2 linked regions of the Caenorhabditis elegans genome follow. The protein of the gene in region 2 purifies or fractionates together with the protein of the main gene of each other region. This does not show direct contact. Each region holds a gene or a part of one and is shown on either strand. Other genes may lie near its edges.

What was found. The genes of interacting proteins can lie anywhere in the genome.
Region 1: the proteins of dyf-11 (region 2) and osm-1 fractionate together in Caenorhabditis elegans (co-fractionation; one large-scale study listed by BioGRID). This does not show direct contact.

Annotation. Positions count from the first base shown.
Region 1 is NC_003284.9:16,537,850-16,544,091, reverse strand, and holds the start of osm-1 (Intraflagellar transport protein osm-1), read right to left. Parts: upstream 3,419-6,242; 5' UTR 2,674-3,418; coding exon 2,635-2,673; intron 2,280-2,634; coding exon 2,136-2,279; intron 2,083-2,135; coding exon 1,970-2,082; intron 1,915-1,969; coding exon 1,809-1,914; intron 1,204-1,808; coding exon 1,124-1,203; intron 1,078-1,123; coding exon 1,002-1,077; intron 959-1,001; coding exon 747-958; intron 521-746; coding exon 397-520; intron 350-396; coding exon 1-349. Other genes in the region: pat-9 (C2H2-type domain-containing protein), read right to left, coding at 4,546-4,920, 5,014-5,188, 5,371-5,765, 5,968-6,096, 6,152-6,242. UniProt on the Caenorhabditis elegans protein: Component of the intraflagellar transport (IFT) complex B required for transport of proteins in the motile cilium. May be required for ciliary entrance and transport of specific ciliary cargo proteins such as che-3 which are related to motility.
Region 2 is NC_003284.9:760,460-767,239, forward strand, and holds dyf-11 (TRAF3-interacting protein 1), read left to right. Parts: upstream 1-3,292; 5' UTR 3,293-3,309; coding exon 3,310-3,450; intron 3,451-3,679; coding exon 3,680-3,838; intron 3,839-4,219; coding exon 4,220-4,366; intron 4,367-4,422; coding exon 4,423-4,886; intron 4,887-5,122; coding exon 5,123-5,252; intron 5,253-5,302; coding exon 5,303-5,635; intron 5,636-5,957; coding exon 5,958-6,191; 3' UTR 6,192-6,280; downstream 6,281-6,780.

The DNA of each region.
Region 1 (6,242 bases), about 16 Mb from region 2:
CGACAACTGTGACTTCACCGGCATTAATGATTAAGCAACAGTTATTGAAGTCGAAATAAAACTTTTCATGGCCTCCACTTTGCCACTCCAGCTCCGAGAATCTTTGCGATTCTGTGTCAGCGATGATGATGCTTGAAGAGGTGTATCCAATAACATATCTATCCTTTCCCATAATTTTCAGTTCATCAATTGCTAGTCCTTTGTTGGAGATCACGTTGGTTCTCGTGTCGTTTGTGACGTCACGCAGAATAACGTGTGATGGTGCGACATATGTGGTCTCGAAGCGACTTTTTAGCATACCGCGTCGCAGGCAACAATCGACGGAAAATACTCCGCCACACACGGTACCCTGAAAAACACATATTCAGAATGGGGCTCAGAATTCGAGGGTGTTACCGCATAAATAGTACTACCATCCATTTTCCAACCAAGTGCACCAATTGTATATGCATTTTGAATTTCCAACGGAGCACCCTCATCCCAGGCACCTCTTCTGGCAGACCAGGAGAATAGGCGTAGTCTAAAAAAAGGTTAGAGCTATGTTTCTACCAATACACGTGGTGTCAGGCTGTCTCATTACAATTTGGTCTACAAAAAATGCGGGAACATTTTTCCAGAAAAATGGTAACGCCAGCACACTCTTCACCACGCGAAATCAAATGAGATTTCTGCGTCTTAACTCCCACATTCTTTGAAGGTCAAACCGAAAAAAGAAATTTGACTCCACGTGCAAATAGTCTTAATACCTGTCATAACTTGCTACCACAACGTTCTGAGCAGTAGGATCACAGGAAATCGAAGAGAACTCTTTTTCGGATTGATCATTGTAGTCAAATTGCTGCTGAACAACTCCGTTCTCGGTATAGGACAGCACTCTTCGATCGGAAGTCGCTACAACCAGCCCGTGGTTTGTGAATACCAAATTGTACGGAGGAACTTGCAGCGTGCAGATTTTGGACTGAAATTAGGAGCATTATAAGCCCAAACTGTATATAACAAACCTGAGTTCTGCTACTGAAATTGTACAAAATAATAGATCCATCCTGGTGCGCCGATACGAAAGATGTCCGTTTCGGGCTGAAAGTACAGTATTTTTTGATTACTTTTTAGGATAAATACTTACTGAGTTTGAATCGAAACTACTGTCTCGTCGGTTTTGTATAGTGAGCTGCATTTGTTTGTCTTGATGAGTCCGATACGAACCTGGAAGATGGGAAGTAAGAATTTTACGAGACATGTAATTTAGGAACGTTCATAATACTGAAAAAAAACCATATAAGTTTTTTGAAAATTTTCGGAAGTTGCTATAAACTAACAAGCAAGTTTAAAAATTTTTAAACAAAAAAGGGTATGCAGGTCTGAAACTCTAAAAAACTGAACTTACGTTTATGCAGTTTTGAAATCAAAAAATGTATGTAGAAATATTAAAAAGTATTGAAAGGACTGTAATAAATTAATATTTTTCGTAAAAAAGTTTGAAAAACAGTTTTTGCAAAATTTCGGGCTCTTCTTTTTCGCCTTCAAAAAAAAACAACAACGGCTTTTCAAGTCAATATTTCTATTTTAAATGACAATTTCATCTTGATTTTCAGTATTTAAAAGTAAAGAGCATCATACCGAATTCAAAAATTTTAAATATTTGTCTGCACATTTTAAAATTTCATAGGTATTTGCAAAAACGTTAATCGCTTAATAACCCGAAATCCTGTGAGTTTTTATTATGCAAATTTTTTTTCACTTTTTTGCTCAATAATATGAAATTCGCTTTCTGTTTGTTTTTCCACCAATTATTTATATAATTATCTCACTTTTCCATCCAATTGACCAACCAAAATTTTGTCATCAAATGGCCAACTCAAACAAGTGACAGCGGATGGTTGCACAAATTTGTTGACAATCACTTTCTTCTCATTCCTGCATAAGTAGTATGAATCAGAAATGATTTTAAGTAACTTTACAACACACTTACCAAGAGGTACCGACTTTATAAATGAAGAGAACATTGTCGCTTTGTCCGATGGCGATGCGTGACGAATCAGGTGAAAAGGTCATGCACAATACGGTGAACGATTTTTTTCCGTACTAAAAAAAAGATAAGACGATAAAAGCTTTACACCAGATACAATGTGACGAACCTTTGCATCAATCGGTTTGCAAGTGAATCTATCCTTCTGCACTCCATTTTCATCTAACAAAGCGACTGATCGATCGGAACAGGCAATCGCTGCACGAGAACCATTTGGAGAGCACGAAATGTTGCTGATCTTTGCTTCTCCATCCTGAAAATTAAAAAAAAGATGTATTTGCAACAGTTTTAGCTATAAACTAAAAAGAAGTTGCGCAAAAGTTGTAAAACAGAATGCGCGCGGAAAATTCGGAAGGGGCGGTTGCTAGGCCACGACCGCTAAGTCTCTTCCACATGGTATTGTGGTTTAGGTGATTACAATGAAAAATGTTTTAAAATGTTTAAAATTGGATAAAAACAAGAAGTTTTTTTTTTGCAAAATTGAACTATTATGCAGCGGGTAAAATGCGTCTAAACTAAAATAATAATACTTTGAAATTTTCATTGATACTCTTTCGCAATTAGATTCTAAAAGTTTTTTAATACTTTAAAACTCCTATTTTACTCACCTGAGCTGGGAGAATAGTTGAAAGATACTTGAGTTTCATTTAATCCTCATGAACTGAATAACTGCAAGAAAGGGGGCAACGGAACAAGGGGAGCCGTCTGGTGTGTGCTCCGTTGCCATGGTAGCTATGAAATGCACAAGAGCAAGGCTCACACACCACCGCCCTTAAGCTCACACGTTCTTTCATGCAATTTGTGGTATTTCCTAGATTGTTCAAGAAAATTTGGTGAGTGGGATTTTTTTAACAACAGACATGAAAGTATAATTTGAGTGCTGGTAAATTTAAGATTGAATTCAAAAAAAAATATCTGAGATCCATTTTTGAATATGAAGAAAAAATATATAATATAGTTTAAAGGTGGAGTAGCGCCAGTTAGGATTTTATCTAAACACACTTGAAATAATTTAAAACAACTTAATACACTCCAAAAAGTTTCAGATTTTTCATAATTTCCGGTCAAAGTTTTGGCACAGTGCCAAAATTTTGACATATGAGCTTTTGAGGAAATCCAAAGCAATGTCGCATGTTCCAACCCCTACAGTGTTTTAATACAAATATTTAAAGCAAAATGACATTATAAGAAATGTAGGAAAAAAACCTTTTTTTGGTCGACTTCCAAAATGATGAGTGACAAAACTGAGTAATTGCCACTTTTTGACAGTAAATAAAAAATTTTCAAAAAACGTTTGAAAAGTTTTATTATGATATTCGGTTATTTTGAGACCATTGGAGTGGTTCTTAACATTTTCCCGACTGATGCTACTCCATCTTTAAAAGTTTGGCCTTCGGAATTTTGCAGACCACAAACAATTACAGAAACCGTAATTAATTTATAAATTGTAGTGGTAAATTTTTGAACGTGGATAAGTTTTCTAAAGGAAACATTAAACTTTTGATTGTGCTTTCCTTATTGAAAAAGCTGCTGAAATTGAAAGCTGCCGTTCGCATTCCGTACATTTATGTTAGTTGCAAAATGTTCACCGGAATACTAGAAAGTCAAATTAATGTCAAAAAAGTTTTGTTAGTTCTAAAAAAATAGTCCGGCGTTAAAGGCTCATGGGATTAACTTTCGGTAATTGCCAAACGCACTTTTGGTTCACAAAGATATTAGAAAAAAAAAATCTACTCTGCACTAACATTAAATTCATTTCGATTTTAGTTTTAAAACGATTTTGTTTTGAAGTTTACCCACAATTTACACATTTGTTTCAAAATTTGAATTCAAAAAATAAAAACACATTCCATTTTTTAAAGAATTTACATTTATTACTTTATTTCAAAAAGAAAAAAAGAATAGAGAGATGACTCCAAGATAAACAAAGACTGGAAGAGCAAGAGACAAGATGTTGGTATGGATACAATTAGAGGAAAGGTGGGGGTGGTGAGATGTTGCGGAAAACTGTTGGAGGGGACGAAACATGGCAATGTTAATATGAGCACACACTTAATTTGAGTGAATCGCTTCTACAATATAGTACAAACAAGTAAACAGGAGATATCGGTGTAGAGTACACATACAAGTCATTTATTCTATCAATTCAGATTGTTGGGAAGAAGGACTATTGGAGAGTTCCGCTTTAACTGAAAGGCTGGCAGGATAGTGACAAGAAAAACTGGGTGTGAGAGAGGTAAAGACTTTTTTGTTTAAGAATTAGGAACTACACAGAGAGATCACTGCGAGTTCTTGAGAAATAGAAATAGGCTTTTTGTAATTTTTGATAATTTAAACTTAAGCATAACAATATAATGACACCAAGAATAATGTTTTTTGGAAACAAGAAATTGGAAATGGGAAGGATTGTAATACTGGTCACAACTGGGCACGGAAGGTAAAGTTGAGAAGAGAAAGTAACGATGTCAGACATCAAGAAAAATAGAGGCAAATGTTTTTTTTTCAAGAAAGAGCACATTTTACCACTGCTCATGTGGCACAGTCTTCCCGTGAGCATGAGCTTGTTCGGCGTAGTGCTGCTGCACAACACTCACTCCGACCGTCTGATCGTGAACTTGCTCTTGCATTGGATACTGCTGGTTGACCATGGTATAGTCGAAGGGATAATCTTGTCTTGAAGATGGCAGCAGTACACAGCTGTCAATTGTGAACTGATTGTTGTGTGGGTTGCTCTTTTCAATGTTGGCGAAGCTTCCATTGTGGTAGAGGGGCTGGTTTCCGAGCATCATGTCGGGTTGGGAGACGATGTAGTGAGAGTCATGCTGGTTTACATTTACATAATCCATTCCAGATGACACTGAAGGCAAGGAGGAGGCGAGTTGGTGCACTGGCGGCTGAAAAAAAATGTTTTCGAAACTTGTGTGATTATTTGGTTTGGGGAGACATTATGGAACTTCCAAAATAAAACCATAAAAACAAAAACGTACCAATTGTTGCGTGCCAAGATTCCGGAAGTTAAGCATGTTAATAGTTTGCATTGGAAGTTGAATGCTCAATCCACCCGATGATGAGCCAGAGTCTGATTTAGAATCACTGAGATTTGAGAGCATCGTGTCGTCCAGCGACAGCATGCCTCCGTTGTGGCGACCATCGTCGCTATAGCTGAAAATTATGATTTTAGAGATTTTTCAGTATTAAACTGACTTTCAATAATTTTTAACTCTAACCAGATATTTCAATAGATATTATGTAATAACTCAAATGTTGAATTGGAAAAGTAATAGAGATATTTGTAAAAATTAGTTAATGTATAATATTTATCATAAATGTCTAAAAGTACTAACCCATAAAGTTGCATAAGGAAATTTTGATTCTGACTCTGCATCAATGAATCAAGAGAGGTAGTGTCCAAATCGATTTGATGATCACTTGGAGGTACTAAAGCACTGGCATGCAACGGCTGAACAGCTCCCAGATGCACTTGACTTAATGTAGTTGCCAAGGAGCTTGGCGTTTGCTTGGCTTTTGCCGCTTTCGATCGTTTTTTGTTTCCAGATGTCGTCGTGATCAGTGGATGAGAAATTACAGATGAAGCTGACGATGATGCTGGAAGTCCTCCATTTTCTTCTTGCTCCATTTGCAGTTTTCTTTTCGCTGCTGTGGCATATGTCAGTTGCCGGAGATCGTTGTCCAGATGAGCGGAGGTTTCATTTTTTCGTTGATGCATATCCTTATGACACTGAAGAGAAAACAAATTTCATTAAATGATTAATTTAAAATTTGAATTGAACTAAAAGAGTATTCCTCCCCCAACCCAACAACTACTTTGAACAAGGACACAACGACTTATAACTTACATGTTAACAAATGTTAAGCAAACAGTGAGTTTTCTGTGATGAGTAAGAATAAAGAAAACAGGACAATTATATAAATGGTCTCACCTTCAAACTATTTTTCCATTTGAACGTCATTTGGCACACTGTACATACAAACGGCTTGGCATCCGAGTGAATTCTCTTGTGATTCCAGAGTGTCGACCTCCGATTGAACCTTGCATTACATGTCTGAAACTAAGATATATATAAGTTTTGATAACGCTGTTATTTTCAGAAAAAAGAAACTTACGTCACATTCAAATGGCTTCTGGCCGGTGTGAGAATTTTGATGCTCCTCGAGCTCCATTTTTGAACCAAACTTTGAAGAACACAGGTTGCAT
Region 2 (6,780 bases):
AGAACATATTTTCTGACTTTAAATTTGGACTTCATTTGACTGGAATTTGAGTTTATATAAAAATGAAACTATAAGATTAAGCAACAAATCACAATAATAAAAAAGCTAAAATATTGGATGTCGTGGGAAGAAAGAGAGGAAAAAGGGAGGAAAAAAGAGGAAGAACAGAATGAAGCAGTGGAGGTGCAAGAGCCCCCCCCCCCCCCCCCCCCATGTGATGGAGAAGTGTGTAGACCAAAAAGGGGCATAGGAGGCCGATGAGAGAAGAGACGTGTGTATGTGTGTGCATGTGTATTCCTTCTCATTCTCTTTTCCCTTTTCTGTTTCGCCCCCTCGCTGCTATTTTTGAGAGGAGTGAAACGAATGGATGGCAAGAGAGGGAGGACGAAGCAAAGAAGTGAAGACTGAGTTCCAAATCAATAGAGGGAGAGAAAAACAGAGAGATATACACGACAAAACATATAAGTTTGTTATTATGGGATACCAAATTCCCAATTTGTCCAACTTATAAATGTGGGAACACTTTTTGTATCGTTTTTCACATGGAGAATTGAAGCGGCAGTTTTTGTGGAAGCTTTGTATTTGAAAAAAAAATTCAGGTTTCAAAATTTTAAATAATGTGTTTTACATACTCAAGTACCTATAAAGCAAACGTTTATATACTGACATGATCGACATCAAAATTAAAAAAAAAAATGAAAGAACTACTCACAAATATGCAATTGAAGTTTTTTTTATTTTAAAGGTAGAGCAGCGCCAGTGGGGAAACTGTTAAAAACTACTCCAATGGTGCCAAAATGACCAAATATCATTTGAAACTCTCCAAAAAATTTTTGAAATTTTTTTATTTATTGTCAAAAAGTGACAAAAAGTGACAAAAACAAATTTATTTTTTACTTGTTTTATACTTTAATTTTGTTTTTATTATTTGTATTAAAACATTGTAGGGGTCGGAGCATTTGAAATTTCTTTGGATTTCCTCAAAAGCTCATACTTTTTATAATTTTGGTAATTTGTGAAAAATTTTGACCGGAAATTATGACAAATCTAAATTTTTTTGGTATTTTTATTATGATACTTGGTCATTTTGGAACATTATAAGTGTACTTAGACAAAATTATAAGCTATTTATTCACAGTTTATTTATTCTTTTTTTTTCAAATGCTCCATCAGTCAAATTGAAATTATTTGAAGTGTCAATTGACCATTATAGAATGTTGGAATGTTATTCATTGTAAACATTTAGGGGAACAAGTGATACACAAGTACCAAATATAATAACTACCGTAATTTCTCTATTAGTCTTGCTTGCAAAATTAATTTTCGCATTGCTCGTAGGGGGTGCAAGACTAATAGAAGCTGCAGGACTAATAGAGGAAATACGGTATATAGTTGTACGTTATAAATTTTTCAAAAGTTTTCAGCTTTTGAATGCCAATTCAGCGTGGCTGCTCATTAGGAAACTACTGAATTTATACATGAGAATAATAATTTTTTAACGAATATACTTGCAAAAAAAAAGTGTTGTCTCGCACCTTTTTTTTCTCTTCTGGGGGTTTCCGAAGATTTTGGATATTCAATATGTAATTTCAAATATGAAGTCTCTTCAACGAAGAAAATATCAAACAATTTATTTCAGGTGCTGAAGCTGGGAAATATAATATAAGAAAAACGGGAAACCCCCGTTCACATTGACAATTATGGCTGAATGTACATACCCGAATTTGAGTTAGTTTCGCGCGCGAATGATGTTTTGCGGAAATTCAATCTTATTGTTTTTTGTACATATATATGCTTATTGTGATTGATTTCTTTATATTTTGTTGATAGTTTTCTATATACAGAAAGTTTTCAAATATTTTTCAAAAATGAACCTCTTTCTAAAAAATAATGGACCTTCTGGAAATTTTTCTAAAAATTCATGGCGATTCAAATTTCATTTTTTAATTGAATTTTCATTACTGAAAACGGACTTTTCTCGGTTTTTTTCTTCAATTTTTGAAACGTGCTGAAATGTACTATTCAATAAAATCCAATAATCCTGAAAAGTAGACCACAACGTAGCACACACGAGTAATTAGCGTGTTCCCTTTTTTTGTTGGTCTCTGAAATCGTGGCAATACGTGGATTCAAAAATTCATAAAATATGACGTCACAAATTTTTACATAGTGCAATTTTCATTTAAAAAATCATCGTGGCGTCAAAGCATTAAAGCCATGTGGCGCCCTAATTTCCAGAGGTCAACCTAAGATGGGACAATCTAAATACCCATAACCACAAGAAAGTAGAAAAAAAAATGGATTGTATTATTATGTTTGTCCATATAAAAAGATAAATAAAAATTAGAATTATTGACCAAATTAGTTTGTTTTTTTTTAAATAAGTAGTCTAGTATACTTGTAACTATATATTTTTCTAACGCCTACTACAAATGACGTCATATTCAATTTCAGCTGCCTTAAACAAATGACATTTTTTACGTTTCGTTCATATAGCCTATTTCACGTTTTTGCCTACTATTCTAGATTTTGGAACTTATGTTTTTTTTTAAACGAAAGTTATAAGTACCTCAATATTAAACAGGAAATTATAAATTTAAACATATCTCTACAATAAATGTTAGCATTCGGCTTATAAACAATTTGTTTATGTTTTTATCAAATAAAAACAGTGTATATTTAAATAAAGGATTATTTCTATTTGATTTCCACAATCGCGGGAAACCTCTGAACATTAAATCATAATTTTTGATCTACATGAGAAGCTTCTACTTTGTTTTTATAGAGCTAAGAACGAGTCAATGAAAAAATTATATTGTTAGATGAAGATTGTTTTCCTAAAAGTTTCGATGTGATTTTCATAATATATGTAAATCTGCTAAAAACAAAATTTTCCACGATTTCTTGTACTGGTCGCAATTTGACCACCATTTATAACATTCCAGTCTACTTTCTTCTTTGTTTTCACCCATTTTTCTGACGTATTATATAATCAGAAAAAAATACAATATATTGTGCGAAAATTAAAGAATTGTAATCAGTCACAAAATACCTCAACTAAGACACATTATTCTGCTGCTCTCATCGTCTCACGCACTCTTTGCGCGTAAGGTGGTCTCCATGACAACGTGCCCCCTGCCTCAACAACTCGCCACACAGCGCCACCTGATATTAGCGTGCTCTCTCTCTCTTGCGTGTATTACCGCTGTTTCATTCCTCTTTTTTGTCAGCATTTTTCACCTTAATATTGTTTTTCATGTATTTCATGTTTTTCGCAACTTGTAATGAGATTTTTGCAGTAAAAGTGCGATGAGCGTTGAGGAAACTCGGGAAATTCTTGAGAAAGTAATTCAAAAACCACAACTAACTGATCAACTGCTTTCACGACCACCATTCAAATTTATTGTTGATATAGTTAGCAATGTGATAAAGTCTACGGGGTATTTGAAGGTGGGTATTTGAAAATTTTATTCATAATAAAAAATTATGCGCGAAAATGTAGATTTTAAGAAATGTAATGTGGTATGAGAAAAAAAGAGAAAAAACCAGTGCCCAACTTTAGTTTTAAAGTTTTCGTTTGTCAGTGATGCGAAGTTTTTGGTCAGTGCTGTGCCAAGTTACTCAGTGCTGTGCCAACTTGGTCAGCGCATAAATTTTCGCTAAATTTTCATTTTAACAGACTGACTTCACCGACGATGAAATAAAGTCCGCTGGCAACGACAAAAACACCAAAACTGCCTTTCTTGACAAGCTGATCAAGATTCTAGATGACGGAAGTCTCAAAAACGTCAAAGCCGCCAAAATAATATCGGGGAAGGACGCGGAAGAAACCAACAAAGTGAGTTTACATTCTATTAACAAGAAATATCTGTAATGAAAAAAGAAGGCGCAGAATTTTAAACAGAATTTACAATTCGATGTGAAGTCGCTTCAATCAAATTTTAAAAAATCTGGTCAATCAGAAATTTTTTTTTAACTTAAAAAAAAAATTCGATTTCTTCCGTAAATTATATCAAACTAAATTAGTGCCCTAATCATTTTTTCTATTTAAATTTTCTGATTTTTTGTGATAAAAATATGCTTAATAGTAAGATAAAGTATTTAAGCCGTTTTCAACTTGGTCAGTGCATTACCAGATTGGTCAGTGCTACACCAAGTTAGCCATTGCTTTCGCTCGTCTCAGTTCTTAGTGCTTTTTTTACCTTTTACATTTATTCAGATGCTGCAAATGTTGGGAACAAATGCTACGAGTTTCAATTCAAGGAATGGTACCGGAGAGGAGAAAAAGAAGAAAAAAGTAAAGAAAGAGGACAAAAAGGGAGATGAAGAAGAGAAGTCAACTACTAAAAAACGTAGCAGTAAGAAGGTAGAGTGCACTTTTAAATATTTGTTTCCCCATAAACTCAGTTTTATCATTTTAAGGAAACGCATGAAGAGAAGGAAAAATCGGAGAAGAAAAAATCTGCAGAAGAGAAAGAGAAGAAGAAAAAGTCTTCGAGTTCAAAAGAACGGCATAAGTCTAGTGACAGGTCTAGCGAAAAGTCAAGCGAAAAGTCCAGCAAGGAGAAAAAGAAGGAAAAGAGCACAACAGACGAAAAACCCAAAAAGAGCAAAAAAGACCCGAGTGAACGGCATTTTAAACGACAAGACTCAATGATTGCTGTGAATGGAGATGCACCGGATACTCCGAACAATGAGAATGGAGATGAGGGTTATGACGATCATGAGATTTCTGAACCAACTGTTATATCAAATATGGAAACTGATTTGTCAGCTCAATCACTACTGATCCAACAGCCAGTGACGTCACCCTTGAAAACTGATGATAGTGGGATGGGTGAGAGCCCGAGAATGATCAAGCCCGAAGATAGACCCCCGTTGATAAGGTAACCTCTTACGGATTGGGTTTATCTTCAGTTCATTTTAAAAAATGTAGTGCACACTTAAATAATTTTCTGAAATTGAATTATCCGGCAAATTTTTGGCTTCAACATTGTTGGTTTACTCCTTCTTTGACCAACATTTTTTCAAATTCTAGAATAAGTTGTCAAAGTGAAATTTACACTGAGATTGAGATGATGATACACACAGTTTAATCAGCTTTTGACATAGAAAATTCCAGACCAATGACTGGTGCTGGAGGTGGTAGACCTATGACATCAATGGGAAGACCCGGAACCGCGGCTTCAAGGCCAGCGCCTCCAAAACTGAAAAAGAAACAAATTGCGACTGTTGACTCAACGCCACAAGTGGTAATAACATTGTTAATCAGTTTATTAATTCAATTTTGATACCACTTTAGGTAGTCGAACTCAAATCGGAAATCATCAGCGATGCTCCAAAAGTGGAAACCGAAGACGATAGCAATTTTATAATGGAAAATGACGAGGAAGATGGTGATAGAACCGCTAGAATTGAAGATTTAGTTGATGAAGAAGATAGAGGAGCTTTGGTGCAAAAAATCATGGAGACGAAGGCTGAAATTGAAGATGGAGGAGGACAGGATCAGGTTGAAGAGTCCGATGCTGATAAAATTATGACAGTTGAAAGAGAAAAGATGAAGCAACTGCAGGAGAAGCTTCAGGATTTAACAAGATCTGCTTATCCGCTAGCAAGGCTTTTTGATTTTGCAAATGTGAGTTTAATGAATTTCAGACAGTTTGAAAAACTTGGAAATGCCCGAAATTTTCCGGGCTCCTACGAATTTATACAGACAACGGAAGATGCTAGGGCTTTCAAATGAAAGTTGTTTTGGATGATGTATTGATACATACCGTATTTTCTCACTACCTTTGCACTACTTTACTTTGACAGCTTATGCATATCGTGAATTTTTTTTAATCAACATTTTTTAATTGGGGTTTTTTTTATATTTAATTTCAGTGCACGTAAGTACTATTTTACACATAAAATCAATTTTTTGACATTACATTCGTTATAAAAAATATATTTTTCAGGACGACATCGAATCAATGATTAAAGAACTGGAGCGATGGAGAAGTGAGCAGCGACGGAATGAGCAAGAGGATCAGAACAAAAAAGCGGCAGGATTCGGAGACAGCAGTAGACTCTACAACATCATCGCAAACTTACAAAAAGAAATCAATGACACGAAAGAAGAATTGAGCAAGGCTAGAGGACGAGTTCTCAACAATGAAAAACGCATTCAACTATTCATTTCCAATGTTTGATCTTTCAGTTTTCCCTATTCAGAAGGAGATTTTCATTTTATTGAATTAAATGAAAAGATAAACAAATAAATTATTTTATATTACTTAGAGCTTTGATACAATGTTACAAATTCGAATGAAAATTGAAGTTGCACCAATATGTTGTTGTAACTAAAACTAAAACTAAAATGTAACTAAAATGTTGTAACTAACAAAATGTTTTGTTTAGGTCCAACACTATTTCTTATTGGAGACAAAGTGGAGGAAATTTCCAATGCCACTCCTTAGCTAATTAATTATTAATTGTCTAAAAAGTCCTTTTCAGGATTAGTTTTAAATTCCCGAGCGTTCAACACTTTTTTTGATTGACAATGGCTTTTTCAAATTTACAATCAAGTTTATATCAAGTTTATAATTTATTTGTAACCCAAACAAAGAAAAAGAAACGTTTTTAACAGACCAGTTTGTTGGAATAACACAAAACTCAAGACGGATGGGATAAAAAAGTTGAATTAGTGCCCGATGGGCAGTCATTCGATGGTTTTGAAAAGAAAAAAGAACCCGCATGGGCAATGCAAAAAGGAAAAATGAACATTTTGATAAAATTACA